Canis lupus familiaris: one gene and its partners. The protein of the gene in region 5 binds, or shares a complex with, the protein of the main gene of each other region. Links are inferred from orthologs where the notes say so. Each region holds a gene or a part of one and is shown on either strand. Other genes may lie near its edges.

Region 1 (5,285 bases), on a different chromosome or scaffold from region 5:
AGGGGAGAGGGGGTTGGGTTGAGAGAGGTAGCCGAGGAAAGACTACCCTCACAAGACTTCCCAAATTGCTACCTGGCCCCAGGTCCACATACCACTTCTCCTAACACCTATTTTGGGATGACACAGTTCTCAACAAGCCACTTTAATGTCCTAGGCAAGGAAACCCAAGACAAACATGAAGGGTAATACCACAAGAAAGACTGGGTTACTGCCTCAATCATAATTATTTTTCCAATCATCAGAACTAAGATTTAACAAAAACTCAGTGGAGCTGTGGTCACAGCATACAACTTTCTTGAATTTTTGATACCCAAAAAATTTAGCTTGAGGAATGGGAGGCCAGAAGTCTCCACAACTCAGTTCCCTTCTCACCACCTACCTCCCCAAGAGTCCAAGCCATAGACCCTAAACTACCTCTCACAGATTAGAAGTAGCCACCTATCCAGCATATGTGATGTTCACACGAAGAAAAGAAGAGCAGCACCTGGACAGTGCGGGACAATATGCTTCCTTCTATTCGCCCCTGACTCCCAGAACTAGCCCTAAAATGCTTCTGGCTCCGCCCTTCCTGAGCAAGGCAGATACTAGGGAATATGAGACATTAAGCTTGACAAAGCACCATCAGCCTCCCCCCACTCAGCCCAGGATCAGGCCAGGCATATGAAAGCCCCTCCCATTCCCTTGGGAATGGAACACCAGCTTGGATCTCACCAGAAAGAACCATTTTCTTAAGGCTTTTTCAAAGCAATCCCCCATGTCATCCCCCTCACTAATAAGTCACATCTCTCAGTTCCTCATCTTCCTCACCTCCGTGAAAGCTGGACACCAGGACAAACCCGTGCAGGTGAAGGGAACACCCATCCACATAAGACCCCCAAACTTCTCAAGCAGATAATGCACAGAGACAACATTCAAAGTGGCTGAGACATAAAAGAAGATTTGGGAAAGGGGCAGGAATGGGGTGTGGCAAGTGGAAAAACTGGGTCATGCTACAGCTTGGGGCAGAGTTCACCCTGGGAGCCTGCACTGCTCCCAATCAACACAGGGGCAGCCCCAGCCCAAGGGGCCAATGGGAAGCCAAAATGTGGAACCAACATTGGCTGGACAGCACTACTACTTCTCTCGCCCCTCACAGAGAGAGTCAGATCATGTTACCAATGCTGCTACCCCACCCCCACCTTGGGCAACAGTACAGAAATTTGCCACCTTGGTCTACACAGTGATGAGACTCGAGCCTAAGTTTCTCATCCCAACAGCTGAAGACTCAGCAACAAGACTGACCCCTTTACTAAGTGGCCTCAGTTTCAAACTAAGACTTGAAGACTTCCAACTTAGAAAACACCAAAATGTAGGAACATCTTTCCCAGACCTCAACTTACTGCTACAGCTAAGGAGAGAGAAGGCAGAAGTGAAAGATGTTTGATGGGAAACAAAAACACGACCAGCAGGCTCCAGAATTAAAGCGAAAATAAAGATAAGCAGAAGGATAAAGAAATGACATTTAAAAAAAAAAAAAGAAGCTTGAAAAAAAGGTCAAGGAAACAAGTAGGTGACTTAGCTACGGGCTGTGAAAAAGGAAAGACAGACAAGAGAGAGACATCCACTCAGATGCATGACATCAATCACCATTTGAGAAGAGACAAGAGCTTCTCCAATCAGGCAGGATGATTACAACCATACGGGTTTGGCCAGTCCCAGGAGCCACCCACAAACACAGAACAACCCCCAACACACCTACACAAACACTTCATGACACCAGCCCAAACCCTAGGCTCCCTGCACCAAAGCAGAAGCCTCTAGGAAAAAAGTCTGTATCATGTCCATTTGCTATGGGAAGGGGGGGGGGGGTTGCCCAGGGTGTCACCTCCCTTCTTTTGCCCCTCCCTAGTATATCCTTCAGGGTGTGACATCCTACCCCAAGCCCCCATCATTTCCCCATTTGAAACATTCCAGCAATCTGCCTGCTAAAAGCTCTCTACATCCCAGCTGAGGAGCGCAATTCAAACTTCACAGTTGAGACATCACAGAAAACCGGTAACTGATCAGAAGCTAAAAATAATCAGATAGAGAGTAACCAGCACTCCCTCTCTCCTTTCCACAGCAGCAACCACAGGATCCTGCTAACACAGATGCCGGGCTGGTCTTCAACATGCAATCCTCGACACCCACCCGAACCCCCACCCCGCCTCCAACGGGTCCCAGCCACCTGCATTCCTCCGTGGACCCACACAAGGTAAGGTCTCCAGACCAGAGGGCTCCCTCAACTGGGAACTGCATAGCATTCCTTAAAACAGACAGTGCAGCAAGCTTGCATCTCGGTCCCAGAGCCCAGGAGGCACATGGCTTCCACCCCCTCCCACAAGAGCTCCGCAGAAGGGAACCACTCCCTTCGGATGCCCTCCACCTCAGACTCTGCACGGAGAGAGAGAAACTCAACCTTGCCTCACCAGAGTCGCTAGGGAGGGCCCAAATGCCTCCTTCCTGCCCAGGGCCCTTGGGGAAGATTTACCTGGGTGGGGTGGGGGCAGGCTGTTGTTCAAAAGTGCATCCATATCTTCCTCCTCGCTGCCCGCGGAGCAGGGGGACGGGGAGCCCAGGCCCGACGCCATCCCCTTCCGCTCCCGGCCAGGGAATTGGCCCAGCTGCTCCTGCCTGCGGCCTGGGGCCCTCTACACTGGCCCGAGTCACTGTGCGGGGGAGGGGGGGAAGAAAGAGAGAACAGTCAGTGACGCGCACTGTCCCCCTCCCCCACACCCACCCGCTCTTTCCGCCCACCACCAAAGCGGCCCCCCCAACCCCAGCCACCCTAGCAGGGCACCCGAACCACTCAGGCTGAACTTAGTTCCACACTCCTCGAGGGCAGCCCGGAAGCCGGCTCCCCAACTGGAGCCCCCCAGATGAGCGGGAGCGACGCCCCCGAGGGCAGGCTGGTGCAGGCGTGGGGAGGGGGAGAAACCAGGCTGGACCGAGCAGGGTATGTCGGGGGAGGGGGGTCCGAGTGGCCGCGGCGCGGGGGGGTCGGGGGAGGCGGCAGGCAGCGAGGCGCTCGGGGACACAAGGTCACTTGGGGGTGGGGGGGCGCCTCCCTGCGCCTGGGGAGGGGCCAGTCCCCAGACAGGGCAGCTCTCCAAAGGCTGTCCTCTGGGACAACTCAGGTTCTCCGGAGGAGCCACGGGGCCGAGGGGGCGTGGAGGCTCGGGCGCTCCAGGGGGCTGGAGGCTGGGACGCGGGGGGCGAGGGAGCGCCCACCGGGCAGGGGGCCGGGCCACGTGTCCCGGGGGGCAAGTGAGCAAAGGGCGAGGGGGCGGGCGCCGGGCATTGTGGGAGACCCAGCCCGAGGTGGGAGCCGCGGGGGGCAGGACTCGGGCCGGCTCAGGGCGGGGGCGGGGGGGGCAGGGCGCCCTGCAGGCAAGGAAAAGGAAGGGTCGGCTCCTCTGGGCAGGGGGCGGTCCGCGAGTCCGGGACATCTGAGGAAGGGGTGGATGGAGGGATGAGCTTGGGGGCTGGTCAGGCTCAGAGGGGCGTCTCTTTAGGAACCCCGCGCTCTCCTCACCCCGGAGCCGCCGCAGGTCGCGCTGGGTCCGGCCCGGTGTCACTCCCGCTCCGGCTCCTCCTCGCCGCGGCCGAAGGGGGGAAAATGGCTCCGGCTCCGGCGTCGCCTCTTAAAGGGCCCGAAACACCGGCCGGGAAATCCCACCGCACAGGCCCCGCCCCCCCACGGACAGCCCATAATAACCTCAACCAACTCCAACCCCCCCTCCACTACCGCCACCCTCCTCCTTAGGTCTCCCGGGCAACCCCCGCCCCCTCGTCGCTCCGGCAACCATTGGCCACGCCCCCTTCGAGCGCGCGCGCGCGTGTCACCCGGGCAACCACCCACCTCCGGCCATCCCATAATACACACGGACACCCCACCACCACCACCCCACACACACATACACTCCATACACCTATATGCTAAGGTTGTTGACATATCATAATATTGCAGACCTTTGCAACTAACCCTTTCCCCACCTCAGACATCCCATAATAGCCATCCTTTGCCAACTTCTTCACTCTTGGCCCTAATGCTAACATCCCATAATAATTCGTCACCTCTCCTTCCCCATGGCCATCCCATAATAAGCACCCCTCCCAGCACTTAAGCCTCACAGCCCATAATACTCATTCCCCATCCCCCACAGACATCCCATAATAACCACTCTTCATCCACCCCCAGTTTGATATCCCATAATAGTCAGAAACAACGCCCCCCCCCCCCCAGTACTACAACGGACACTTCGGCCTCCTCCCACACACATCCCGTAATAATCAGTTTCCCACTTTTACACTGACATCCCATAATAACCAACCCCCTAGCCTGAGCTGCCCTCAGCCCCTGCAGACTAGGGTCTAGATCCTCACACCACCACCCTCAGCCTTCATACATGCGTTCTAACTCCACAGCCCATAGTAACCTCTTCTCTGTCAAAGAGATATCCTCTAATGATCGGCAGCCCCACTGTCACCCTACAGATGGACATCCAATCTCCTTTCCTCTAACGCTGGAAAGATATCCCATAATTTTACTCTCCCACCCACACCTTGATATCCCATAATAATGTCAAGGAGCCCGAGGTCCACCAGACATACTCTAATACTCCCAGCACATCCCATAATGCTTCATCGCCAGCCACCACCCCTATACCTTTCCAGCCAGGCATCCCATAATATTCACATTCATACCTCCCCCACCTCCTCAGGCCATCAGGTCTATTCTAACACCCAGAGCCACAAGGTTGTGAAGCAGGCTGCTACCCGCACTGCCCTGTGCCCACCCCAACTTGTACATACCTTTATCCCTTTCTGGGCCAAAGCAGTATCCTGGCATAAAACCTCTTGATGTCTAGGGCAAGCCCTACCTTCCCTCAGACCATTTCTAGACTCTCAGGAACTGCCAGTCAACCTAGGGCCCCACCCAATCCCACCCAAATCCAGTTATTCTCCAGATGCTTACCTCCAGCTCCAGCTCTTAAATATTGAGTAAGACCAGCCAAATACCAGGCTGACCAGATGAACCATTTACATAAAGTTTAATTCACCCCACAGCTTCCCCTAGTCATAATAAACTCCAATCTTTAGAAAGGAGTCTTTAGCCTACTTCTCAACATTTCAGCAGTCCTTCTCCCACCTCATCCTACCTCTCCAGGTCAGATGGTGCAACACACCTGGGCCACTCCCATGGATGGACATCCCACCATGATGTGACATGAGGATATATATATATAATATATCATGTTCATTTA
Region 2 (4,263 bases), on a different chromosome or scaffold from region 5:
TCCCATTAGTACTAAGCCAAATCCTAACCAGATCATCTCTGTGGGCTCGAAACCTGGCATGAATGGGGCTGGATTCCAGAAGGGCCTGACCTGTGAGAGCTGCCACAGTGAGTTCCATGGGAGGATTGGGATGTTGTGGGTGGGGGGGGGGGGGGGGGAGGTGAGGTCCTCTCTGGCCCAAGGACCTGAGGGACTCTCGTGTAGTATTTTTCCCACACTGCCCCCTTCTCTCCATGCTCCTACAGCCACACAGTCTGCCCAGTGGTATGCCTGGGGCCCACCCAACATGCAGTGCCGCCTCTGTGCTTCTTGTTGGATCTACTGGAAGAAATATGGGGGACTGAAGACCCCGACCCAGCTTGAGGGGGCTGCTCGGGGCACAACAGTAAGGAGTGGTGGGGAACAGGCAGGGCAGAGCAGTAAACATATCGATGTGAGCTTTAGGGGAAGGCCAGAGCACCCAACCCCTTCCATGGTGATGGTTTGATGTGGGTATGGGTGGGGAGGGGGTGCCCCGTGATGGTTGGAGACTGGTAGGTTGGGATGGTGATAAAGAGTTCAGGCAGGAGGGATGCCTGGGTGACTCAGTGGTTGAGCGTCTGCCTTTGGCTCAGGGTGTGATCCCGGGATCGAGTACCACATCAGGCTCCTTACAGGGAGGCTGCTTCTTCCTCTGCCTGTGTCTCTGCCTCTCTCTCTGTATGTCTCTCATGAATAAATAAAATCTTATGCTAAATAAGATTTCAGGCAGGAATAAATTGCTTTTTGCAGAGAACAGAAAAAAGGGAGCCTCAGTGACCATCTGTGTTCTCCCTTTTTCCCATGTCTCTTTCAGGAGCCACACTCGAGGGGTCATCTGTCTAGACCTGAAGCCCAAAGTCTCTCCCCCTATACGACCAGCGCCAACCGGGCCAAGCTGCTGGCTAAGAACAGGCAAACATTCCTGCTCCAGACCACAAAGCTGACCCGACTGGCCAGACGCATGTGCAGGGACCTGTTACAGCCGAGGAGGGCCGCCCGACGACCCTATGCCCCTATCAATGCCAATGCCATCAAGGCAGAGTGTAAGGGCAGGAGTGGTGGGGTTAGTGGCAGGTCAGGATACTCTGGCTGGAAAGCAGAGCAGAGACCAGTGTTTCTCTGGATGTTTAATGACAGGGATACCAGGCCACAGCGCTTGGGTGGGAGAATAGATGTGGCTCCTGGCCATAGGAGAGGCCTGAATAGCGAAGCCCTTTCGAGTTTTCCTCTTTGTTCTTCAGGCTCCATTCGACTTCCTAAGGCTGCAAAGACTCCATTGAAGATTCACCCTCTGGTGCGGCTACCACTGGCAACCATCGTCAAAGATCTGGGTAGGTTAGGGTATGAGGAACCCGTTAGGTGGTTTCAGGCTCACGTGGTTTCAGGCTCACAGTCATCTTTTTACCATCAAAATCCAAAGAGATTTAGTTTAATAGTTTAACAGCTGGTACTTTTGTATGTTAATAATGGTTTTCATAAGCTATCCATAGTGAATGCTAAGATCACACTCACGTGATCCTTGCTTGCCAGATCCCTCCCACCATCACTGCCTTTGGGGATGCCCAGGGAAACTACATTGAGAATAAAAAGCATGAAAGTTCTAAGTTTTCTCTTATTTTTTTTAATCTGGCAGTGGCCCAGGCACCTCTGAAACCAAAAACACCTCGGGGTACCAAGACCCCAATCAACAGAAACCAGCTGACCCAGAACCGGGGTCTGGGGGGTATTATGGTGAAACGGGCCTATGAAACTGTGAGTTAACAGCGGGAGTGGGCAAGGCTGATTGGGTGGGCATTTATGTCTGATAAGGATCCATGAGTCCACTCTCATTGTGTGCCCCCTCCCCCTTTCCAGATGGCAGGAGCGGGGGTCCCCTTTTCTGCCAATGGAAGGCCTCTTGCCTCAGGGATTCGCTCAAGCTCACAGCCAGTTGCCAAGCGTCAGAAACTAAACCCAGCTGATGCCCCCAATCCTGTGGTGTTTGTGGCCACAAAGGATACCAGGTACAGAGCCCACCATGGGAGGGGCTGAGAAGTTGAGAACCCACTTTGGGGGGTAAGGATAATAGTATTGGTGTGGGATGGGGATGTCAGGAAAGAATGGGTCCGAAGGCAGAACTGGATTGTGGAACGTGGGGTTTCACCTTGAGAGCCTTAGCCTTCTTTATTCTATTCTCCTTTTCCTGGCCAGGGCCCTGCGGAAGGCTCTGACCCATCTGGAAATGCGGCGAGCTGCCCGCCGACCCAACTTGCCCCTGAAAGTGAAGCCACCACTGATTGCAGTGCGGCCCCCAGTCCCACTGTCTGCACCCCCACATCCTGCCAGCACCAATGAGCCCATTGTCCTGGAGGATTGAGCATCTGTGGGGGAAGGGAGGTGGCTGAAAGCCAGAGGGTGGGTGCCCAGGGCATCCAACCTCCCTTCCCCTCTAGTAGCAAAGGGAATGAGGAGTGAGGGAGGGAGCAAGTGTTTGTCCTTGGAGGGGTTGGGCGCCCTCTGGTGTTACCACTTGGAGGCCTGTCCCCTTTCCACGTTTTCTCCACTTCTGGTGGTGGAGGGCACACTGCAGGAACTTGACCCACTGTGGGAACCTAACCTGTTTTGGGGGTTAGGACCCACAGTCGTCTTGGACAGTTTTGGGGGGAGGGTTTTTTAATTTTTTAAAAATTTTGCCTCCCTTTGTGAAAACGGGATGGGGAGGGGAAGGGTAAATTGACAGGAGGTGGTGGTAGGGGGAGGGGGGCGTGCACTGCCATGACTGCCATGTCTATCCTTTTTTTTTTTTTTTTCCTAATGGGGGTTTCTCTTCCTGTCCGGTGTCCGGACTTTCCTAATTGGAGTTTGAGGCCCCTAAGCTGGCATCAACCCCAACCCATGTTCTCTATTCCTTCCCTCCCTGTGCCCCCTCCGCCTTTTGTACGCCAATTCTCAGAAATAAAGATCTTTTGTCCATTTTTTTAACCTCGGATTCTGTAATTGGTTCTTATAGTAACAAATAAAAAGCTGTTTTCTTCAGCTTCTCCTGGCTCAGCTGTTCTCTGCCATGGGTGTGTGTGTGGGTGTGTGTGTGGGGGGAGGACAGTGACTTAAATTGGAAAAATAAAGGACAATGGGTGATAAAGGAGATACAGATGGGGCTTGCCTGGGAACAGCTTTAGGAGCTAGGCAGCCTGTTCCGGCTAGCTTTCTCGTGGGACCCAAACTGCTCCCCAGCTCCCTGTGGTGCTGGAACCCAGGCTCCCTCTTGGCACACAGATTGAGAACGGTTGGAATGGATGGACCCTGGATGGTTGGTGGCTTCCACAGGAAGGGAGGTGGGAAGATGCTTTTTCTTCTATTTTCCAACCCTTAACCTCTCTTTTAGGAAATTCTGGGAGTTGCTAGAGATCAGGGCAAGATGTAGCCTACTTGGGGGGCAGGGTGCTGCACTCTTACCACCCAGCCCTGTGGTATGTTTGCAGATTGCTGCTTCAGGGATTCCCAAGACCAGCCTCAGCACCTGCCTTGATATTGAGGGCACGCTCTAGAGCTGTCTCCCGCCTTTTTGGGTTTGGGAAACAGAAGTCTGAGCAGGGTCCAACAGGAGGAGCACCCTTACAGAGTGAACAAGAATTAAGCCTATTATGAGTTCCTTCCACGCACTTCCTTGAAGATAGGGGACAGCCTCAGCAATCAGCACTTCCTTAAGGTCACAGACCTTGAGCTGTCTGCCTCAGGCCCAGTGTGCTTTCCACAGTCTAGAGCTGCGGACTGATAACCACAGCAGGAGCTGCTCAGACCCTTGAGAGTCCTCTCCAGCTCCCTTCTCGGCCCCTGGGGCCTCCCCAGCGACTTCGCTCTCCCCACTCTGAGCTTCCACCTCGACAGCATCAGGAACTGCCCGCTACACCAGTCTGGGGAGAGGGGGAAAGTAGCATTTTCTCCCTCCAAGGTCTTGGCTCAGTTGCCACCAGCGCAGGTTCTGCCGCATGCCTTGAAGTGGGCCGGTGGCTCCGGCTCCTCATGGCAACACTCCACGCAGTCAACTAATGCAGGAGGGAAACGTGACTCACCGGGACCGCAGCGATCTGGCCGTGGTTGAGCGGAGTCCGCGAGCTGCCCGGTGGGGACAGAGCTCCCCGACCAGGGCGGGGAAATGGTCGCATGACACCCATTGAAGGGAGGACCGAGGGCAGAGGGAGAAGCCGCAGCCCTAGGGAACTCGGGAGTCCGGGGACAGCCTTGAGCTTCGTGAAGTCGGCC
Region 3 (4,854 bases), on a different chromosome or scaffold from region 5:
TCTTTCTGTTTAATAGTAAAATAGTTTGCTTGGTGAAAGAGAGGGCAAGAGCTTATGAAAAAGTTAATTTTTAATTTTAAATGATTTGCAGTTCCACAGTGAATTGTACATTTTGACACTGATAATGCAGAGAAGTCCTGTGGATGTCAAAGGAAATTTCCTGTGTGCCTAGAAATGTGGTCTCAGCCATAGAAAGCCTTTAGGACATTTTTGTCAAGTATTGGAAGGTGGGGAAAAAGGCATACGCGTAGCAAAATAATATCTGTTAAAACTACTCTGTTAAATTTTATGCAAATTTAAAAAACAGTTCAATATTTTTTGTGTGTGGTCCCCTCAAACTCTGTTTTTGTAACTTAGCTTCTCAGTGTGAAAGCAGCCTTGTTCCACATCTATTCACCCATCCTAATGGCAGCTAATTAAAATGCAGAGAGAGTGTGTGTTGTATGCTTTATTTTTCTCTGTCCAAAGTGTCTCATATAGTAGGGTATGAGGTGAGCTTGATAAATGAACACTAATAACCATTCCCACAGTATCTTCCTGTTCTAACAGATGAGGCACCCTGTCTGTACAGGCAACCTCTTAAAACTCAGCACTGCTGACATCATAGTAGGGTGTGAAAGATGGAAAACTAGCAATAAAACCAATGACCCATTTTTAGCCCTGTGAGGCTCTCATTTAATGGAATTGAGTTTAATCAAGATAGATTAAGACTTCTCAGTGGAGACTTACTTCCTCTAGGTCAGGGGTGGCCAAGTGTGTTGCCTTTGTCAGCTTTGTCATTTTTGTGTTCTATGCCAGATTAATCTTAAATTAGGTCTGTTTTCACCTCATCCTGCATGGACATTTTTTCTACTTTGAGGAAATAATGCCATGCCTAGAAAGGAAGCATACTTCCACTTTTTCAAATGGGGTCACACAGAAAGAAAGCACATACGTGTAAGACGTGTGTTAGCAGCACTCAGATGAGGCTTTAAGTGAGTGTTCTCCAGGTACATCCTTCATTCAGTAATTTGGAACCAGAGCTAGAAACAGTTTCCTCCAACCCTACAGGAAATTATGCAGGAATCTGGTGGATATTTTGCACTGTCTTCCACTGGCACCTTTTTTTCTGCAGTGTGTATAGAATAGGTAGAGAAATCAGCCTCATTGGTTGTCTCCATGTTTCCTTCTCTCCTCAGATGCAGACAGACATGCCGAACTATCTGGAAGTCCACTGAAAAGCAAAAGCACTAGGAAACCTTTGGCATGTATCATTGGGTATTTAGGTGGGTATTTTCTTACAGAAGGAAAATTTCAAAAAACAATTTCTGTACCTTATAAGTATTTGGCTATTCTAAATTGTCATACCTAAACTAAATCCAAGCCTTTCAAGTAGCTGAAATTGGATACTTTCACATGTATAGTCCATTTATTTTGTTTCAGAAGCTTTTGGGTTTTTTTTCCAAAAGCTTTTATTTGTTATTACAAAACATATACACACAACATGTATACAGAGTTATGGATATGTTTACTTTTTCCAAAAAAAATCATTAAATAAAAATATAACATTTGTGGATATAAATAGAAACTAAGCAAAAAGAGGAAAGAATCACTAAATTATTAGAGGATGAATATTCTTTTTTTTTTTTTTTTGAGGATGAATATTCTTAATGTTTCAATTTAGATCCTTCCACTTGGCTTATTTTTTTTAATGAGATCAAACTGGCTCTAACCTACCTTTAAAAAAATATTTATAGGTTTGATGTACCAATTAAAGTTACTTTGAAAGGGAAGCATTTGTATTGCTTTCTGATTTTTACCATGTTATTTAACTTAGAACTAGTCAAAGATGTTGGCTCCATATTTGTGTTGAAATATCACAATTAAGAAATAGTATTTTTAAAAATCAATAGGTAATAACCCTTTTTGTTTTGTTCTGTTTTGCAAAGTTTTAAGTTAATTTACAAAATAATTATTTCTAAAATGGTTCCTAATATCCCTAGAAACTATAATAGCATGTTTTTAGTGCTTCTAATATCCTTGCATTTTCATTTTCTCAGAGTGAAAGGTGTACTCAAAGTTGCATTGAAGCTTATTGCTCTGTCAGAAAGATGTACAGTTATGAAGCGTTCAGACTCTAGAAACACTTAAAAGTCAAAGTGTAGCCTTAAATTGGTATATTATCTACTCCTCATCAGAGCATCCAAAAGTCAGAAGCTCATAGCTCCCTCTTTGATTTTACTTGGTCACTTTATTTCTTGTTTTATTTCTCAGAGCCTGAAGAGTTGTTTCAGTAGTCCCGAGAATATCACCTCATCATCATAGGCAGGACCTAGGTCATGGTGACCAAGTCCTTGAATTTTGCTATCTATTCCCTTGAAGAGCCTAATCCTAGAAGCCCCTTCCCTCCATGCATGGACAAGTCTCTGATCATAAGAAATAGAATATAACATTACATATTAGCCAGTCTTTCTGTGGGTAATTTTGTGTTCCTCCTGCGGGCAAATTGGTCTCTGTACCTACCTGGGAGGCCCAAAGCTATGCTTTACTTACTAGCTGAACCACACCTCTACCTCACATATTTCTGAGTGTTTACTATGTATAAGACATAGTAAACATAGTGATTTGGGGGAACATCAAGATGAGTAAGACTTTGTCCTCAAAAGTTTTATTCTAGTGGGGAAAGCACACAGGTAAGGACAATTAAGCAAAGGATTAGCTCCTATGAAAGAATTACAGGTAATATTCATTGGACACTTGGAAGAAGGAATAGTTATTTCTGATGAGATTTAGGGCAGCCTACGTGGAGAAAGCAGTGTTTGATCTCAACCTTGAACAATAAGTAGTATTTAAATAGAAAAACAGGAAAAAAGAATATTTTTCCCTTTATGAGGCCTAAAGAATTTGATGCACAAAGGCTTCAGTGAGTCCAAAGGTGGGTGGTCTGGTTTGGATGAATAGTGTGGAGGCTGTAATGAAAAATGGGGTTAACAAAGTTTCAGTGCCGTGTTGGAAAAAAAAAAAAAAAAATCAGCACTATATGTTGGTTAGCACTTGATCCATTCCTAAATTTTGATAAGGGTAGAATTTTGACCAGACCAAGATATAGTAATTCTAACAATCCTAACAGCCTTTCTTAAATTTCGATAAATAAGGCTGATTGCCTGGCCCTCCCTGAGAAGAGAGAGTGGTTTAGAATCAGAGAGCAGGTTTAATTTTGGAAAAGACATTGCCCAGTAAGAGTAACAGACTGAGATCCTTAAGTCCAATTCCTACAGACTGTAATTTCTGTCCGTCTGCTTTATCCAAAAAAGTACAAGTAATTCTGGGCTATATGACTGACAACAACATACTTCATGTAAACACACATATCCCACATGCACATCACAGTTTTGTGATATACCCTCCATCAAAGCTTTTCTTCTACTACATCTTGAGTCTAGAATTTGGAGTTTGGTGGCATGTTTCATCTATATCAAGATATTCTGGACTAGTAGTAATTAACCTTGGTCCTGTACTCTCCTTGTAGAGTCAGAGAAGGAATCCTGTTTTCCAGAAATCTCTCACACCCTAGACATGCTGCATGCTGCGTTTCTGGTTTGATAGAGCATAGAGTTAGCTTTCTCTGAGGCCATTTCTCCAGATAACCTTTAAATTTCTAAAACTTTGAAGAGTTAGTTGCCTAATTCCCTTAGTATATCTGTGCTTAAGTGATCTTCTGAAGTGGAAGTGGTGTTTTTGTTGTTTTGTTGTTGTTGCTTGTACTCCCAACATGAAGCTCAGAGCTCCAGCTAGCAGAGGGAGAAGCAAGCTCACTTTTGATAAGTAAAGCCATGGTAACAGCACTTGAAGCTGATTCATTATGCAAGTCCTTGGGAAAACAGACTGGCTCGTAAGGAACGGACTCTCACCTCATTAAGAAGTAAGATGTGTGCCTATTAGGCGATGTAAGTGCACACAGAGATTTTTATTACCATGTCCTGAGTTGAGAAACCTTTTCTCCCCCTGCCAGAGATCCATCCTTCGAAGAAACCTAATGTAATTCGATCTACACCAAGCCTGCAAACCCCCACTACCAAGCGGATGCTAACCACCCCGAATCACACATCTCTGAGCATTTTGGGGAAAAGGAACTACAGTCATCACAATGGCCTGGATGGTATGTAAGCCCAGGAATTCTGGGGGCTGAGCTCATAGGCCAGGGCCTCTCTGCCCTTGTCTGCTCTAAGCATATCCTCTGCCAAATCCAAGATGTGTTGCAAATGGGTTCGTCTACCTACCCTCTAATTAAACTGAATGTGTGGTAAAGGGGTAAGAGGGAAGGCTGCTGTGTGCCACAGTGAAGACATTTAGCTGAGTGATATTTCTCTATCTCCTCAGAAGGGACCCTTTTGTTCACATTCCCTGTGAGGATGCTTGTTTGGAGAGGAAGTCTGTATTTATCAGGTTGACTCTGGTGGGTGATAATGTTCTTGCTGGGATGCATGCTCACTGCTCCTTTACATTTTCTTGAGCAGAAGTGTTGATTTCACCTTAAGTCAGAGGCAACTGTGATCTCTGGGGGTTCTTGGGTGTTCTGTGGTTCATTTTGGATTTGGCACTTGTCAGCTACTTCTTTCACCTTATAAAATTTTTTTAATTGCTCAAGAGTGCTACAAGTCATGAAGGGAATTGCCTGGGTGACGTCTTCAATACAGAAATAATAATTTGTTTGAAATGGAAAAGCTAAGAAATATCACCTCTTATCCAAAGTACCTCCCTTGGGGTTTGGCCACAGAATGACTCCTCAGGTGGAATTGAATTATCTTCCCATTCGGACTACAAACACAAACATAATAAATCATCCCAGCAGTATATATTGTCCATTTCAATAGT
Region 4 (5,460 bases), on a different chromosome or scaffold from region 5:
GGAGGCTCACAGGTGGGGCCTGCGCCCACCCAAGGAGGACGCCTGATGACCTGATGAACCCATGAGAACGGCGCGTGTCCCCAGGCTGGACGGCCGTGTGGCAGGCAGCTGGGGGCCCAGGGGCAGCCCCCACGGAGGCCAGAACCTCAGCCCGGGTGCAGGCAGGTCCCACCCAGAGGACGGGGGCTCTGAGCGGCCCGGGCCCCGGAGCACACGCCCCCACCTGCTCCAGGCCAGTCCCCAGGGCGGCGCCGCTGGCCGCTGACCAGGAACAACATCCCGGGGCTCGAGCTAAGCCGCCGCGAGTCCCTCCGGCCCCACACTTCCCAGACTCAGGTTCGAACTACAAACAGGGACTTTGCTTCTGAAAACACTACACCCAGCGTCAGGAAACCTTCGGAGCCACAGAGGCCTCGCCCCTGCCCCCCGCCCCCAGGGAAAGGCCAAGACTCACTGGCGTGCTTGTCGGCCAGGGCGATGAGGGTGCTGGAGATGTCGCGCCTCCGGTAGAAGCACACCACCTTGGCCTCCACGTTGCCGTTGGCCGTCTGCAAGAGCAAGGCAGGGTCTGAGCAACGCACGCCCCCGACCGGCCGGCGGCTGCCAGCAGGGGCGGCCCAGAGGGGCCTCGAGTGACCCCAGGGCCGGCAGGTCGCGGGAGAAGCCAAGCCCAGGGAGCGCTGACGCCGAGTGGGCCGGGGCACGTCTGACCGGGGAGGGGCGCTCGGCGGACCTGAGCCCTCCAGCGGTGCACCCTCCTCCTGGCCCGCCAGCCAGGTCCCCCTGTTGACCTGCGTCCCTCCCCCAGGCCTTGCTCGCTCAGGACCAGAACCTGGTGGACGTCCGGACGCTGGAAAGGCCACAGCCCCTGGGCCCCACCTTCCAGCACCCCTGGGGTGGATCAAGGCCTCTGTCGCACCGCTGGGCAGACCTCAGCGCCAGGGGCCTGGTTCCCCATCAGAACTGGAAGCAGCCACGGGGGCACCTGGTCAGGCGGCCGCCTCTCAATTTCAGCCCAGGTCGTGACCTCAGGGTCACGGGGCCGCGCCCCACGGGCTCCCTGCTCAGCGGGGGTCTGCGCGGGGCTCCCCGCTGGCGCCCTCCTTGGAACCACAGGGGCTGGAGCAAGCAGTCGGTGCCCCTGCCCCGCCGGCCCCCGGGGAGGCCGCCAGCGCCCAGACGCCTTCCAGGACCTCCGAAGAGCTCAGCAGACACGAGAGAGGTGGGGGGGCGGGGAGCGCCGGGTGACCAGCCGGGAGCTCAGGGGCCGCAGCCAGCTGCCGCCCCCGCCCTGCGCCAGAGCTGCGCCCAGACGAGCCCCGACTTCCGGGGACTTGACCCTCGGGGCCGTTTCTCCTGTGCCCAAGGGGCCCTGGGGGCCTGGGGGCTCCGGGCAGGGTGGCCCCAGCAGGGAAGGGCCCACAAAACGAGCTCCCAGCGGCCCCAGCCGGGACTGCCCCGGGTCCCCGGGCAGCAGGGGAGGCGGGCTGCGGGGGCCAGAGGGTCCCTCCCGCCCCACCCCAGTACTGAAGGGGGCTGCAGGCTCACACGCAGACGCCCATCGACCCCACCCCGAGCGCTCCAATGGCGGGCTGTGGCCACTGCCGTGCAGACCCGTCACCTGCAGGCTGCCACAGGTGGTGCCACCTGCCCTCTCCACGTCACAGCCAAAGCGAGGGGCAGGGGCTGTGCTGGCCCCACCCGAGACCCACTGCCCGCGGCCAGCCCAGCAGTGGGCCCCCGGCTCCCCCGCCACGCTCCCCACCGCTCACTGGAGTCGCGGGCCCGACCCCATGTGTTCCCGAGCCGATGCCCACCCCGTGCCCTGCTGGCCCTGCTGCCCGGGCGGGCCGTGGGCAGCTTCCCCCAGCAAGCACCCGCGGGAGGTGGCCCCACAGCGTCCTGGTCACTGCCCTCGCCCTGCCGCGTCCAGACCTGGCCCAGCCTCCCAGGAGCTGCCAGGCTGCAAGGACCAGCCCCACACGCTGTGTGCAGCGGAGGCCTGGGGGCACCCCCTCCCCCGGGCAGATGCTGCGCAGGAGTCTCGGGAACGGGGGCACAGGGGTCGGGGCTCGGCTGCCACCAGTCTGCTCCGTGGAGCACCAGCACCCCGACCTCCGCCCCCAGCCCGCCGGTCCCAAGGATGCCCAGCCACGCTGCCGTGCTCGGGGTCCAGGAGAGCAGCCCTTGAGGACTGGCCTCACGGAGCACAGCCAGTCGGGGACAACAGGTGCTCCGGGGCCAGGGACTCCACGGCCGCAGGGACACTCCTGCCTCTCCCCAGTGCTGCCGGGGGCGCCTCAGAGCGGGAGGCTGGCGGGAGGGGGGGCGGCTGCGAGGGCCCAGAGCGGGGCGGCAGGGGCCTGAGTGAGCCGGGAAGAGGCAGAGGCAGCAGGTGGGCGGGGAGACCCCGGCCAGGGGGACCCCACAGGGCGCCCCTGTCCCACAGAGCACACCCGCCACAGGGACCCCACGGAGAGCTCTCCAAGGAGAAGGACCCAGGTGTAGGCGTGTGGCACGGGAACAAAGCCACCGAAGGGTCTGGGGCCGGCCCTGAAGCCCCGGGCGGCCCCCCCCCACCACGCGCCCCCCCCCATGCACGTACCTTGTTGAGCTCCTCGATCCTGCGAATCAGGTACGGGTTGCTGGAGGAGTTCTCAAAATAGACGTAGTCTGCAAACAGGAACAGAGTGCGTCACCCCGCAGCACTGAGCCCGGGGACCAGGGGAGCCCCGACCCCCCTCACACCCGCGCCCAGTTCTAGGGGCCAGGGAACAGGAGGGAACGAAGGACACGGTGCCCCTGCCACCTTAGTGCACAGACAGGTACCCAGACATGTTGGTGGGTGCCGGGCACGGGTCCTAGAGGACGGAGGGGGCTGTCCCGGGCAGAGGGTCCACACGCCCCGCCCCCTGCCCCGCGCAGACGCTGTGGGAGCCGGACTGCAGCTTCCCCCAGGACAGCTTCCGAGGGGCTGCCGGGCGCCTGCACCTGCCCCCCCACCCCACGCGCCCCGGGCAGGGAACGGAGGAGGCCGGGGCTCCCTGGGCAGAGGCAGGGCTCTCGGGGGTGCGGACGGGGTCAGGTGCCAGAGGAACGAGGTCCCGCCACCGCCCGCCAGGTCCCCAGCACACCATGTGGGCACCAGCTCGCCTCCGGCTCCAGAGCAGCCTGGGATCGGTCCCCAGGAGGCTGGCAGGCACCCGGGATTTCCCAAGAGGCCCACGGGGGCGGCTGGCCGGCTCCCACGGAGCCCAGGCCAGCCGGGAGGCCACCCAGCTGCCAGCCTGGCCGCCGCCGTGATATAGCAGGTAGCTCGGGGCAGCTGCGGGTGACTCGGTGCCAGGACGAGGCCAGGCTGCAGTCCCCAGCAGGGGTGCCCCGCGCTGTCCCCCGTGCCCCAGGGAAGGCCTGCAAGAGGCCCGTGTCAGCCGGGACACAGCCAAAGGGCCACTCGGAGCACAGATCTTGCCCCAGGACCCAGGCCAGCTCCGTCCTCTCAAGAGGTCCTACCGCTCCACCGTGTGGAGAGGCCCCAGCAAGCATCTGGCACCTGCTGCTGCTGTGTACCTGCTGCAGGCACCTGAGGGGGCTCACCTGTGCTTGGGGGGGGGCGCTCACCTGTGCTGCAGAGGAGAGCTCACCTATGCTGCAGGGAGATGGGGGCGCTCACCTATGCTGCTGCGGGAGGCTCACCCGTGCTGCAGGAGAGGCTCACTATGCTGGGGGGTCCTCACCTATACTGTAGGAGGGAGCGCACCTGTGCTGCTGGGGGGGGCTCACCTGTGCTGCCCGAGGCCACAGCCGGATGGGACGCGGCCATGGGCACCCACAGAGCTCCACGGAACGAAAGAGCAACAGCACTAACAGCCCAGAGGGAACAGGGCTGCCGGGCTCAGAGGGCCACGCTCGCGGGCTGGGGGGGAAGAGAGCTCTACGGGAGGGGGCCATCGACGGGCTCGAGGTCGGCTTGACGGCAGTGGAAACACTCTGAACACAGACCGCGGCCACACCGTACGCCTCGTGAGCGGGTGAATTTTATCACACGTGAATTGTCGCTCAAAAGAGCAGTTTTAATATAAAGCCCTATTGGTCTTAAAGCTTTCATCCAAAGAAACCAAAAAACCAATTAAATCAAAGCTGTCGGGGATCCCTGGGTGGCTCAGCGGTTTAGCGCTGCCTTTGGCCCCGGGCGTGGTCCTGGAGCCCCGGGATCGAGTCCTGCATCGGGCTCCCTGCGTGGAGCCTGCTTCTCCCTCTGTGTCTGTCCCTCTCTGTGTCTCTCATGAATAAATAAGTAAAAAATCTATTTTAAAAAAAAATAAGTAAATAAACCAAAGCTGTTATTCACATGCAGTCTACACTGGACACGACCCAGGAGGAGCCCCACCGGCCCTGCATGCGGCTCTGAGGATCCCTGCTCAGGCAGGGGGCTGGGGGGCACGGGGCTGCGTCCCAGCCGCCAGTTGCACCCCTGCATGTGCTCCCCACAATTCAGACCTGCACGCCTGAGACGGGTGGGTTAAGCTTTGGTAGATGGGAAAACACGCAAAGCAAAAAGATGGTAGATGATGAGCAAAAACCAGCATAATGAGGAAAAATGAACTCGTGTAAACAGCCAGTAAGGGGATCAACCTCAGGCCAGGGTGACAAAGGAAAGACCCGGAGGGTGAGTGAGCGAGAGCTGGGTAGGAGGGGGCTCCCGGCGCCGCTGCCTGACGGCTCAGGTGACACGGGGCCCGCGCTGGGCAGACGCAGACCCCCGAGCTCCCTGCAGACAAACAGGCAACCCTGTGCCCTAAAGAAATCAGGCTCGGGCAGCCCGGGGGGCTCAGCGGCTTAGCTCCACCTTCAGCCCAGGGCGTGATCCCGGGGACCTGGAATCGAGTCCCACGTCGGGCTCCCTGCGTGGAGCCTGCTTCTCCCTCTGCCTGGGTCTCTGCCTCTCTCTGTGTCTCTCATGAATAAATTAAATAAAATCTTAAAAAAAAAAAAAATCAGGCTCAGGGGCACCGTGGTGGGCTGAGAGTCTGCCTTTGGCTCAGGTCACGATCCTGGGGCCCCGGGGTCAAGCCCCACGTCGGGGTCCACGCTCAGCCTGGAGCCTGCTTCTGCTTCTCTCTCCCTTTCCCTCTCCCTGTGTTCTCTCTCTCTTTATTTTTATTTCTTTTTAATTTTTTTTTTATTTATTTATGATAGTCACAGAGAGAGAGAGAGGCAGAGACACAGGCAGAGGGAGAAGCAGGCTCCATGCACCGGGAGCCCGACGTGGGACTCGATCCCGGGTCTCCAGGATCGCGCCCTGGGCCAAAGGCAGGCGCCAAACCGCTGCGCCACCCAGGGATCCCTCTCTCTCTCTTTAAAGTAAATAAAATTCAAAAAAAAAAAAAAAAAAAGAAAGAAAGAAAAAGAAAAGTAAACCCTTTCAACTGCAAGCAAGAAAATAAAAATCAACAAAGG
Region 5 (4,854 bases):
TGTGCTCTCTCTCTTGCATGCTCTCTCTCTCAAATAAATAAATTAGTAAAATAAAATAAGTAAAATACCACTTGAAAAATAATACCACTTAAGGATTTAAGGAACCCACACATTATACAAATTGTTAATGAAAATAAGCTTTATTACATCAAGTAATAAATACATACAAAGATGCAAACAGTTTTAGTCATTTTCTTCCAGATGTTTGGATCAACGTACAGGAAAAGCAGAACTGAAATCCACACAGTCTTAGTAGGAAAATTTTGCTGGGGGAGGGGGAGTTCTTGTTAGGTTAGGTTTGGTAGGTTGCTCTTTCTTCTGTATTTATAACTTGTGCATTTTTTAAATTGACCTCAAAGCACTAATAGTCATGCAAGCAAATGCTTCATTAAGCTCAAAAGAAGTTACATTAAGCAGAATCCACACCATGTGGCAAACGTATGCACTCAAAACAAAACCCTCAGAGTTGTATTAGCTTATGAAAGATAATGTAAAACAATCTGAGTAACTTAAGTGTACTCCAAAAAGAGGATGAAAGGAGCTGGGATATCTGCTGTGAGATAGGGATCTTTTACGTGCATCTTTCAATGCTTAAAAAAAAGAAAACAAAAAAATAAAAATGCTTAAAAAATAAAAATAAAAATAAAAACAAAAAACCCTGGGTAATTCCTATATAAATGTAAATCCTAGTCAACTGCAAAGTATTTCTCAATCTCAGAGCCTCATGAACCATGGGAGGGACACGGGAAGGAGAAACCAAACTGTTACCATTTTGAAAACAAGAGTTTCATCTGAACATGGGAGATGAGCTGTAACTTCTGGTCTTGGAAGAAGATGGAAAACCTTCCACGCTGATAGGCAGCTAGGACCTGGCATTCCGTTCCGTCTCAGCCAAGCACTCTCGAACCAGTCCTCTGGCGTGAATGATGCCTGGAAGAGAAGAGGCTGAGAATCATCCAGCAGAACCCATTCCAGAAGAGGAAGAGGGCCCCCCTTCACAACCCAGCTGAAAAACCCTGGCCCTGGAAAGAACTCAGGACCTGCATCCAAACCACCCCGGGATTCCAGCGGTTTGGAAACACACCAGCATCTCGTCCCTCCTGAAAGGCCCTTGCCTCCTAGCCAAAACTCCTCTTCATGGCTCCCTAACAATCCCTTCCTGCACACAAAGGGACAACCAGCAAGCTCTCTCTGCATGTCATGCTGTCAGAGTACGGAAGATGTGTCTCCATCCGCTTTCGTTAGGCCGGACCCACTCTGCAGAGTCCATGACTTCAAATCATATTTTTCTCTGGTTTCTTCATATTCTAAGTTCTAGAAAGGGCTTGTCCAATGTCCAGGCTGCACAGTTAGGATGCAAGACTGCTCACCTAGGAGTGCCTGCATGGCTCAGTTAAGTGTCTGCCTTTAGCTCAGGTTATAACCCTGGGGTCCTGGGATTGAGCCCCACATTGGACTCCCTGCTGGGTTGGGAGCCTGCTTCTCCCTCTCCCTTTGCTGCTCCCCCTGCTTGTGCTCTCACTTCCTGTCAAATAAATAAAATCTTAAAAAAAAAAAAAGGACTGCTCATTTATGTTCAACCGTATCCGTTAGGACGTTGCCCTCCAGGTGCATAGAGCATCTTCTGCTCTATTACTCCCCTACCCATATTTTATCTCTGGTTTGGTTGTTGGGTTTGTTTGCTGTGTTTTTTTCTTTTTGTTTTTTGTCATGGCCTTTAGTGAACGCCATGAGATACTTATCTCATTTTAATAGACATCAGGGACGCCTGGGTGGCTCAGCGGTTGAGCACCTGCCTTCAGCCCAGGGCATGATCCTGGAGTCCCCGGATCGAGTCCCACATCGGGCTCCCTGCATGGAACCTGCTTCTCTCTCTGCCTGTGTCTCTGCCTCTCTCTGTGTCTCTCATGAATAAATAAATAAAATCTTTAAAAATAAATAAATAATAGATATCAAAAATCTATTCCCTCTAAGAGATGACTGCCGGAGGGCACTGTGAATGACATCCCCAAAGTCACGCAAGCATCCACATCTCACAAATCTTATCTCTGAGCTTCAGAAGACTTTTTTCTGGAAAGGGCCAAACAGTAAATCTCAGGCTTTGCAGGTCACATGGTCTCGGTCACAACTACTCAGGCAGCCATTATATAAGCAATGGGTGTGGCCATATTCCAATAAACCTTTATTTATGAACACTTAAGTTTGAATTTCAGATAATTTCCACCTGTCACAAAATCATTTTCCACCATTAACAACTAAAAACCAAGGACGCCTGGTGGGCTCAGCGGTTGAGCGTCTGCCTTCAGCCAAAGGCGTGATCACCCTGGAGTCCAGGGATCAAGTCCTGTATCGGGCTCCCAGTGCAGAACCTGCTTCTCCTTCTCCCTATGTCTCTGCCTCTCTCTGTGTGTCTCTCATGAAAAAATAAAATCTTTAAAAAAGAAAACGACAAACTAAAAATCATTCTTGGCCTACCAGTTACTGTTTGCTGACCTATCAACAATGCACCTGAGTCCATCATACCTTTTACAACTCTTCTTCACCTTGTTAGGACATAAACTTAGCTAACTTGTACTTGGCTACTAGTTAGTGTGACTGGGTGACCAGCTGTTCATGGGACACATGTCCCAGAGTGGTCATTAGACATATCCATAGGCTAACCTGAACCACTGGTTCTTTTTGGTGACTGCAAATCGCCTGTTCGACTTCAAGGTCCAGTACCTTTTTTTAAAATTTTTTTTAAAGATTTTATTTACTTATTCATGAGAGACACAGAGAGAGAGGCAGAAACAGCAGAAGCAGACTCCATGCAAGGAGTCCAATATGGGACTCAATCCTGGGACTCCAGGATCACGCCCTGAGCCGAAGGCAGACGCTCAACTGCTGAGCCACCCAGGTGTCCTAAGGTCCAGCATCTTTCCAGGGGTTCTCACTCAGGTAACCATGACTCCAGGTGCCAGGACTGTCTTGCTTCCCCTGACTCCAAACAGCAGCCCAGATGCAGAGTGACGCCCACCGGCCCCCCAGGGGTGGGTCGGGGTTAACCCCACCTCTATCAAGCCCTCTCGGGGTCCAGCCTCTGTCAGCTCCCCTCCCCCAGGTCAGGCCTTACTTCCTCAGTAAAAGGAGTAAAAGCACCCGGCCAGCCAGCCAATCTGTCCATGAAAGCTTGGTAAACAGCAGCAAAGCCCACTGCTATGGGCAGGAGCCTTGCCTACCACGGTAGGGTCACAGCCTCCGCAGCAGCCCCTCTTTACATCCCAGGTTAACTTCAGACTTGCCTCTCCAAACTTCTGAATAAACGCCAGATCCTTTCTGAAATTAAATTCGTACCTAGGCCACTGCTGCTCCGAATTGCCACCTTCTAAAACAGAAATCATCTTCTTCCCTCCACCCCATTTACTTCCTGAGGTAGCAGCCGATTTCACCTCCCCCTGGAATCAGCTGGTCAGTCACATCTTCACATGAGTCACTGGTTTTCTGTGACACCATATTCCTACCCCCCCTTCCATCCTCAATCATGAAGGAATTTCAGTGTTCCTGCTCTCCCTTCCCAGACTAAGATAGACCCATTGGCCTCTTGGGCTCCGCTCCAAAGAGCTGACAACAGAGGGCAACACAGGACCCAGGACCTGGCTACTTCTTGTCCCTGACCCACTCAGAGAAGGAAGCCTGGTGCATTTGTCCTCCTGCGGCTCCCTGGGACCAGTACCAGCCAACAGGAGCAGAGCAAGCAACAGAGAAAGCTACAGGATCTGGCCTGTAAAGATTCTGTTCTTAAAGCCCATGGACCTTCCCAAGGAGCACGCAAAGCCTTCCCGTCAGATCCCAAGGACAGTCTACACCCCATGACCGGCCCATTCCTGCCCCTGCTGATGCTTCCACAGATTAACCAAACAGGAGCCCCACGGGGCATAGAGCATTCACGCCCCCCTCTGGAAACCTCTCACAACAGTTAGCACCCAGCAGGGAGGCAGCACCCAGCAGGGGGTGTCTGGATCCCGCTACTTACCTCGTTTTAGTCTCTCCATGGCGCTCTTGCTCCCTGCATAGGTGGGTCTAATCTCTTTCCCCAACTCTTCAATGATGGCCAGCAGCTCAGCATATTTGCTTTGGGGTACCTGGCTGTTCCCAGTTCCCTAAAATCAGAAGAAGTTTAAATGGATTGAACCCTATCCTGATCCTAAGGCCACGGTCAGGACCCTACCACATGCCAGCCACAGCGAGGGCAGGGCACAGGGAGAAGCCCACCGAGAGGCAGTGGCTGGAGGCAGGGCAGCCTGGCCTAGGTTCCCAGAGCTTCTGCCTCTGCTGGAACCGGCCACACGCTGAGAAATAACCACTGACCAGAAACCTGGGCCTTTCTACTGTCCTCCTACACTCAAGGAAACCACTAGCAGCCTCCAGAAGGTTTTAATCATCTTAAATGAGTAAAAGGACTGGTTTGTCTCAGCAAGTACTGGGTGCTTCCTAGGATCCAGGTGGATGCACCATCCCAGGGGAATGACAGTGGACAAGCTGTGGGCCATACCGTGGGGTCTGGAGAACTATAAATAATTGCCAAAGACCATCTGGACAGAATGTGTTTCCACTTACCCATCCTCCCCCTGCCAGCAGGGCCCACCCCAAAAAACCTGTTTTTCTATAAGCCCTCCCCCTCCACGGCCCAAGTATGCACCCAATGAGTGAGGCTGGGTCCCCGCAGCCCCCCCACAAGGCCCTCGCCTGCTCCTTCCTCCTCTGTTGCCGCTGTCTCCTGGCCTCCAGGGCCTTTCTCCTGTCCTTGCCCAGCTCCTCAGTGCCCTCCCAGTGCCGCCTCTTGGCCTGGTGGTCTTCCCGCCACCGCTGCTTCTT
Region 6 (4,677 bases), on a different chromosome or scaffold from region 5:
GGGCGTTGAGGGCCATGGCTGGGTGGTTGGGGTCCTGGGTCATATTAAGGTAGGCAGCCCTCCGGAGCTGCTCCTCGATGACCAGCGCCTGCTCCAGTAGCTGGGGGATGTGGCAGGAGGGACTGAGTGCCAGCCCGACCCCCCGTCCACCAGCACCCACCCCTTTGGGCCTGGGAATGGGTGAAAGGGAAGGAGGGAAGCTGCTCTTCTGCTCATCAGTCCACCCTTGCTGTTCTTAGAGCTCCCAGCCCCGGAACTCTCCGCAATCTGGGTTCTCTGCACCATCCTCCCCGGGGCAGGGACACGCACCCAGTGGGGCCTGACCCAGATCAAGGACCTAGCACACTGTTGGCAGACTACAGGACAACCCTGGTGGACAGCCTGGCCCAGGACCACGGAAATGAGGAGGGGGCTGCCGGGCTGCTGCTCAGTCAGTCCTGCCTTGCCCCAGGCCCCCTTCATGCAGCCTGTCCTCCTGCAGCAACAGCCCCCCACCCCTGCCCCGCAGGCTCTGGCCCTGCTGGGACTGACCTTGAACCTACGGGCCAGAAACTTGTTCTTCATCTCCAAGTAATTGCCCTTGTGGATCTCGGACTTGAAGGGCTCGTTGAGGATCATATATCTTGGGTCATTCTGGATGTCCTGCCAGCGGGCATAGCCATGCCTGGGTGTGGCTCCGTTAAGGGCAAACCCAGCCGTGGAGGGCAGGGAATGGGGGAAGGGAAGAGCGAGTGGGGACCAGGCCGATGCCAGCCGGTGCCAGCATCCCAGCTGCAGCAGCCCAGGCTGTGTGCTTTTGGACAGTCGGTCATCAACCTTGGCCAAGAGGTGAGCAGGTTGACAATGACAACCTGACAATCAACAAACACCAGCAGGGGCCCTCAGGAGCCCCAAGAGCAACAGAGCTTTGGGGACTGAACCCTTTCATCCTAACAAGTCCCAACACCCACACCTGGGGCTGGGACTTCGTTCGGAAACAGTCTTGGTAGCTGCAATCCAGTTAAGAAGGGGTCACGCTGGATTAGGATGGGCACGAATCCAGTGACTGGTCTCCTTATAAGAGGAAATCTAGGGCACCTGGCAGGCTCCGTCAGTGAAGCATCTGCCTTCCACTCAGGTCATGATCTCAGGGTCCTGGGATGGAGCCCCACGTCAGGCTCCCTGCTCAGCGGGGAGTCTGCTTCTCCCTCTTCCTCTGCCCCTACCCCCCACTCATGCTAATTCAAATAAATAAATAAAATCTTAAAAAAAAACCAGAAATCTGGACCCAGACACCCAGACACCCAGGGAAGATGGCCACGTGACCTCGCGGCCAAGAGACCCAAGGATTGACAGCTGCCCCAGAAGCTGGCGAGGAACAAGGAACAATCCTCCCCTGGAGCCATCAACTGAACAAGGAAACTCAATAAAATGATCTCGCCCAAGGTCTCACGGTGAGCAAGGGGCAGAGTCAGGATTGGAACCCAGGCAGACTGGCTCCAAACACCTTCACCTCCACAACAGGAATCGTAACTACGATCCATAGGCCAAACTGGCCCCCGGCCAATTTTTTTTAAATAAACCTTTATTGGAACGTGGTCACACTCACTGGATCACTATCGTCCATCACTGCCTTTGCTACAATGACAGAGCAATCACGCTGCAAAGCCTGAAATATTTGTGCTCTGGACCCTTACAGGAAAGGTTGCTGACCACTGTTCTAGAACACTCCCAGCCAGTTCCAAGGCTGTCATGAAGGTCACCTTTGCTGAGGGGCTTTCCGCAGGCAGTTGTGTGGCTTTCCCCTTGCCTCTGGGAGGTCTCTGCTCAAATGTGACCCCTGACTACTTATGAGAAAAGGCAACGGTCACCCCCAGCACTCCCCCTGCTCCTTGCCTGCCCTATCATGTTCTGTTGAATGCCACACTTGGCTAACTTACAGCATTCGCCATCTGTCCACAGCAGGATGTGAGCCCCAGGGAGACAGGGACTGGGGAATGTTCACGGTTGCATCCTCCATGCCTGGCACATAGGACACGAGCAATCAAAACTGAATGAATGAATGCTAGCCAACCACAAATGGTGATGCACCCTCCAGGCGTCATCACAGGAAGGAGGTGAAGTATGTCCCGGGTGGGAGTTAGGGGTATTTGTTGTGGTCAGACAGGTAGGCTATGGCTTATTAGCTGTGTGTCCCTGGGTAAGTCCCGTGGCCTCTCTGAGCATGGTTTCCTCCCCTGTATGATGGGCAACAACGATGCCCCCTGGAAGGCTGCTGTGCAGATGGAGTGAGCACTGAGCATAAAGGGATGAGCCGCAGCTATGGTTATCACCATCATCACCATCACCAGCAGGAAAGGGTCCTCGGCACCTGATCAGAAGCGCTGGCTACTGATTCCTTATCCCACACACCCCATGTCCCTCCCTGAGGTCCACAGAGGAACAGGCCAGAGTCCTGCCCAGCCTGGCTTGGCCAAGGATACGTCACGATGCCCGCCAGCAGCCAGTAGTCATGACGCCGGTGCCAGATGTCGTAGATTTTCCCCGAGGACACAGCAGCACGTTCCTCATTCTGCCACAGTGTGTGTAGCTCTGGGAAGCCAGCCAAGGGGAGCAGAATGAGGTGCCCCCCAGTCCCTCACAGAAGCAGGCATAGGAAGGTCTCTTTCTCACCACCCACCGTCTCCCCACCCGTGGAAGCTCAGTGTTCCAGTTACCAGGAAAGGTTATATAATGCACTTTTATCAAGCATTCACACTTTAGTATAAAATAACCATCTGCCCAGACTCCTGGGACTCCCATAGTTAGGAAGACTGTGACAACACCCACACTAGGTCTCTGCCCTCCGCCTCACCGCAATACCTGTGAAGCCCCCATCTGCAATGTTGAACATGAATTTGAACTTCCCATTCTTGTCCTCCTTCTTCCCCTCCTCATCATCCTCTTTGTCACCATTTTGCTGTGTTTCAATGGGCTCCTTCTCCTCCACTCTGGTGTCATCTACGGGAGAACACACCCATATTCATTTACCCATCTGAAAGGTGCTACCCAGGGACCTCTCTGTGCCAAGCACTGGGGCCTGGGGACCCAAAGGCAAGTGGGACCCTATCTCCTCATCCTCCATGGGCTCACTGTCAAGAGGGATTTTAAACAGACAAGCAAGCAGCCCCTCCTTCTGTCCCGAGCAGAGATGGGGATTCCAGGCCCAGGTGCCACTCCCTCACTCAAGACGACCTGGGAACACGGGGCACAGCACTGTGAAAGTGTATATTAAATTAAAGGACAGCAGTTCTGTCCTGGGGGGTCTGATGTGACAAGTGTTCCAGAACATTCTAGCACCTACAGGTACATAAAGTCTCTGATGGGAGTCCCAAATGCTCCAGGCCAAACTCTGTGACAAGTTCTCCTTTCTGGTGATAGCTGGGGCCATGGGAGGGATTAGGAAAGGGGAAGGCATCTCCTCCCACCCTGACTCCCACTCCCGGGGCTGGTGGGCTCAGGCTCCCATCCACCAGCTTCAGTTGGGCCAAGTGAGTAATGGGTAGATGGTGGTACCCATGGAAGCTGCAGGAGGCCCAGCAAGGTCCAGAGAGGGTGCCTTCAAGAGACCAAGGGACATAGGACAGAGTACACACAAGAGCCCCAAACCTGGCCTGAAATCATTGCCATCCCCTCTGCTGTGAATCAAGCTTAGCTCCAGCTTGTCCAGAATTTTCTCCTTCTCAGGAAGCATTTCTTCTGCAAGACAAAGGGTGTTTGTAGAGTAGGGAAAGGTCTGAGACAGACAAAACGGACTCTGGGCTGCTGACTTTCCAACTCCATTTCAGCCACACACAGAATCCCACCTGTCACTTCACTGAGGAGTCCAACCAGTGCCATCAGGGAGGGATCCTCCGGGAAGGCAGGCATAGAGGGCATGGACCCCCTTGACACCGTCGGCTTGCCCCTTCCCCTCACCCCTACCCCAGCAGTACCCCACCCCCAAACTCCTCAAGGCACAGTCTCAATATCCTCCCTACCACAATGATAACTAGAGGTCTCAAAGTTCTGGTAACACAGCAGGACTTCATTAAATCAAAACCCTCTTACAAACACCCAGAAATGTCAGGCAAAACCTATCACCTTGGAAAAATACACAGTGAGCTCACAAGGAGAAAAGGAAATTGTCGATGCCATAAAGAGAAGGTGGGGAGCAGATGCCAGGAAGAAGCCTGGGCGGGGGGGTGGGCTGTGTCTTGACACCCAGACAGGGAGGATGAGACTGCAAGCCCCGAAGACCAGAGAACCAGAATCCAACACCCTCCAACAACACCCTCCAGATGCCAGGCGCTCAGTGAAAGAGAGAAAGTACCATCCAATGCCTCGTGGCTGAGCTGAGGAAGCCTGGCTCCTGCATGGAATCCAGGGGCAGAAAGTCTCCAGCAAGAAGCCCAAACCCCATGCAGAGTCCATGCGGACCATGGAATCTGAATTGTGCTGCCCCAACAGAGAGAGTCCAAGAAAGACTGGTTCCAGACCAGCCAGACCACTAGCAAGACCACAGGGGCCGGGGCTTCTGGAAACGGAGCAGGACATTCCTGCTACTCAGGTGACATGGGTTCCCGTGTATAAAAAAATCCCATGAAGATGTGCCCAAGCAAACTTCAGAAACCATTTATCCATCCACCAGAGAGAGAGAGAAGAAAGATGAGAGAATCC

The links.
Region 1: CDK2AP1 (region 5) and CHD4 share a complex: the UniProt entries of both Homo sapiens proteins name them as parts of the nucleosome remodeling and deacetylase (NuRD) repressor complex. The link is inferred for Canis lupus familiaris from reciprocal best matches to the Homo sapiens genes CDK2AP1 and CHD4.
Region 2: CDK2AP1 (region 5) and MTA2 share a complex: the UniProt entries of both Homo sapiens proteins name them as parts of the nucleosome remodeling and deacetylase (NuRD) repressor complex. The link is inferred for Canis lupus familiaris from reciprocal best matches to the Homo sapiens genes CDK2AP1 and MTA2.
Region 3: CDK2AP1 (region 5) and MTA3 share a complex: the UniProt entries of both Homo sapiens proteins name them as parts of the nucleosome remodeling and deacetylase (NuRD) repressor complex. The link is inferred for Canis lupus familiaris from reciprocal best matches to the Homo sapiens genes CDK2AP1 and MTA3.
Region 4: CDK2AP1 (region 5) and MTA1 share a complex: the UniProt entries of both Homo sapiens proteins name them as parts of the nucleosome remodeling and deacetylase (NuRD) repressor complex. The link is inferred for Canis lupus familiaris from reciprocal best matches to the Homo sapiens genes CDK2AP1 and MTA1.
Region 6: CDK2AP1 (region 5) and CHD5 share a complex: the UniProt entries of both Homo sapiens proteins name them as parts of the nucleosome remodeling and deacetylase (NuRD) repressor complex. The link is inferred for Canis lupus familiaris from reciprocal best matches to the Homo sapiens genes CDK2AP1 and CHD5.

The regions. Positions count from the first base shown.
Region 1 is NC_049248.1:7,680,636-7,685,920, forward strand, and holds the start of CHD4 (chromodomain-helicase-DNA-binding protein 4), read right to left. Parts: upstream 3,712-5,285; 5' UTR 3,554-3,711; intron 2,975-3,553; exon of another isoform or gene 2,804-2,974; intron 2,688-2,803; 5' UTR 2,610-2,687; coding exon 2,510-2,609; intron 2,234-2,509; exon of another isoform or gene 2,102-2,233; intron 1,808-2,101; exon of another isoform or gene 1,724-1,807; intron 1-1,723. UniProt on the Homo sapiens protein: ATP-dependent chromatin-remodeling factor that binds and distorts nucleosomal DNA. Acts as a component of the histone deacetylase NuRD complex which participates in the remodeling of chromatin.
Region 2 is NC_049239.1:54,562,435-54,566,697, forward strand, and holds the end of MTA2 (metastasis-associated protein MTA2), read left to right. Parts: intron 1-9; coding exon 10-107; intron 108-245; coding exon 246-385; intron 386-835; coding exon 836-1,064; intron 1,065-1,262; coding exon 1,263-1,352; intron 1,353-1,654; coding exon 1,655-1,773; intron 1,774-1,875; coding exon 1,876-2,024; intron 2,025-2,211; coding exon 2,212-2,377; 3' UTR 2,378-3,041; downstream 3,042-4,263. UniProt on the Homo sapiens protein: May function as a transcriptional coregulator. Acts as a component of the histone deacetylase NuRD complex which participates in the remodeling of chromatin.
Region 3 is NC_049238.1:34,455,415-34,460,268, forward strand, and holds part of MTA3 (metastasis-associated protein MTA3), read left to right. Parts: intron 1-1,178; coding exon 1,179-1,265; intron 1,266-3,991; coding exon 3,992-4,138; intron 4,139-4,854. UniProt on the Homo sapiens protein: Acts as a component of the histone deacetylase NuRD complex which participates in the remodeling of chromatin.
Region 4 is NC_049229.1:73,159,475-73,164,934, reverse strand, and holds the start of MTA1 (metastasis-associated protein MTA1), read right to left. Parts: upstream 3,690-5,460; 5' UTR 3,547-3,689; coding exon 3,135-3,546; intron 2,674-3,134; coding exon 2,606-2,673; intron 549-2,605; coding exon 455-548; intron 1-454. UniProt on the Homo sapiens protein: Transcriptional coregulator which can act as both a transcriptional corepressor and coactivator. Acts as a component of the histone deacetylase NuRD complex which participates in the remodeling of chromatin.
Region 5 is NC_049247.1:6,517,508-6,522,361, reverse strand, and holds the end of CDK2AP1 (cyclin-dependent kinase 2-associated protein 1), read right to left. Parts: intron 4,140-4,854; coding exon 4,013-4,139; intron 931-4,012; coding exon 863-930; 3' UTR 118-862; downstream 1-117. UniProt on the Homo sapiens protein: Inhibitor of cyclin-dependent kinase CDK2. Also acts as a component of the histone deacetylase NuRD complex which participates in the remodeling of chromatin.
Region 6 is NC_049226.1:60,511,844-60,516,520, forward strand, and holds part of CHD5 (chromodomain-helicase-DNA-binding protein 5), read right to left. Parts: intron 3,718-4,677; coding exon 3,628-3,717; intron 2,980-3,627; coding exon 2,842-2,979; intron 2,572-2,841; coding exon 2,463-2,571; intron 665-2,462; coding exon 532-664; intron 101-531; coding exon 1-100. UniProt on the Homo sapiens protein: ATP-dependent chromatin-remodeling factor that binds DNA through histones and regulates gene transcription. May specifically recognize and bind trimethylated 'Lys-27' (H3K27me3) and non-methylated 'Lys-4' of histone H3.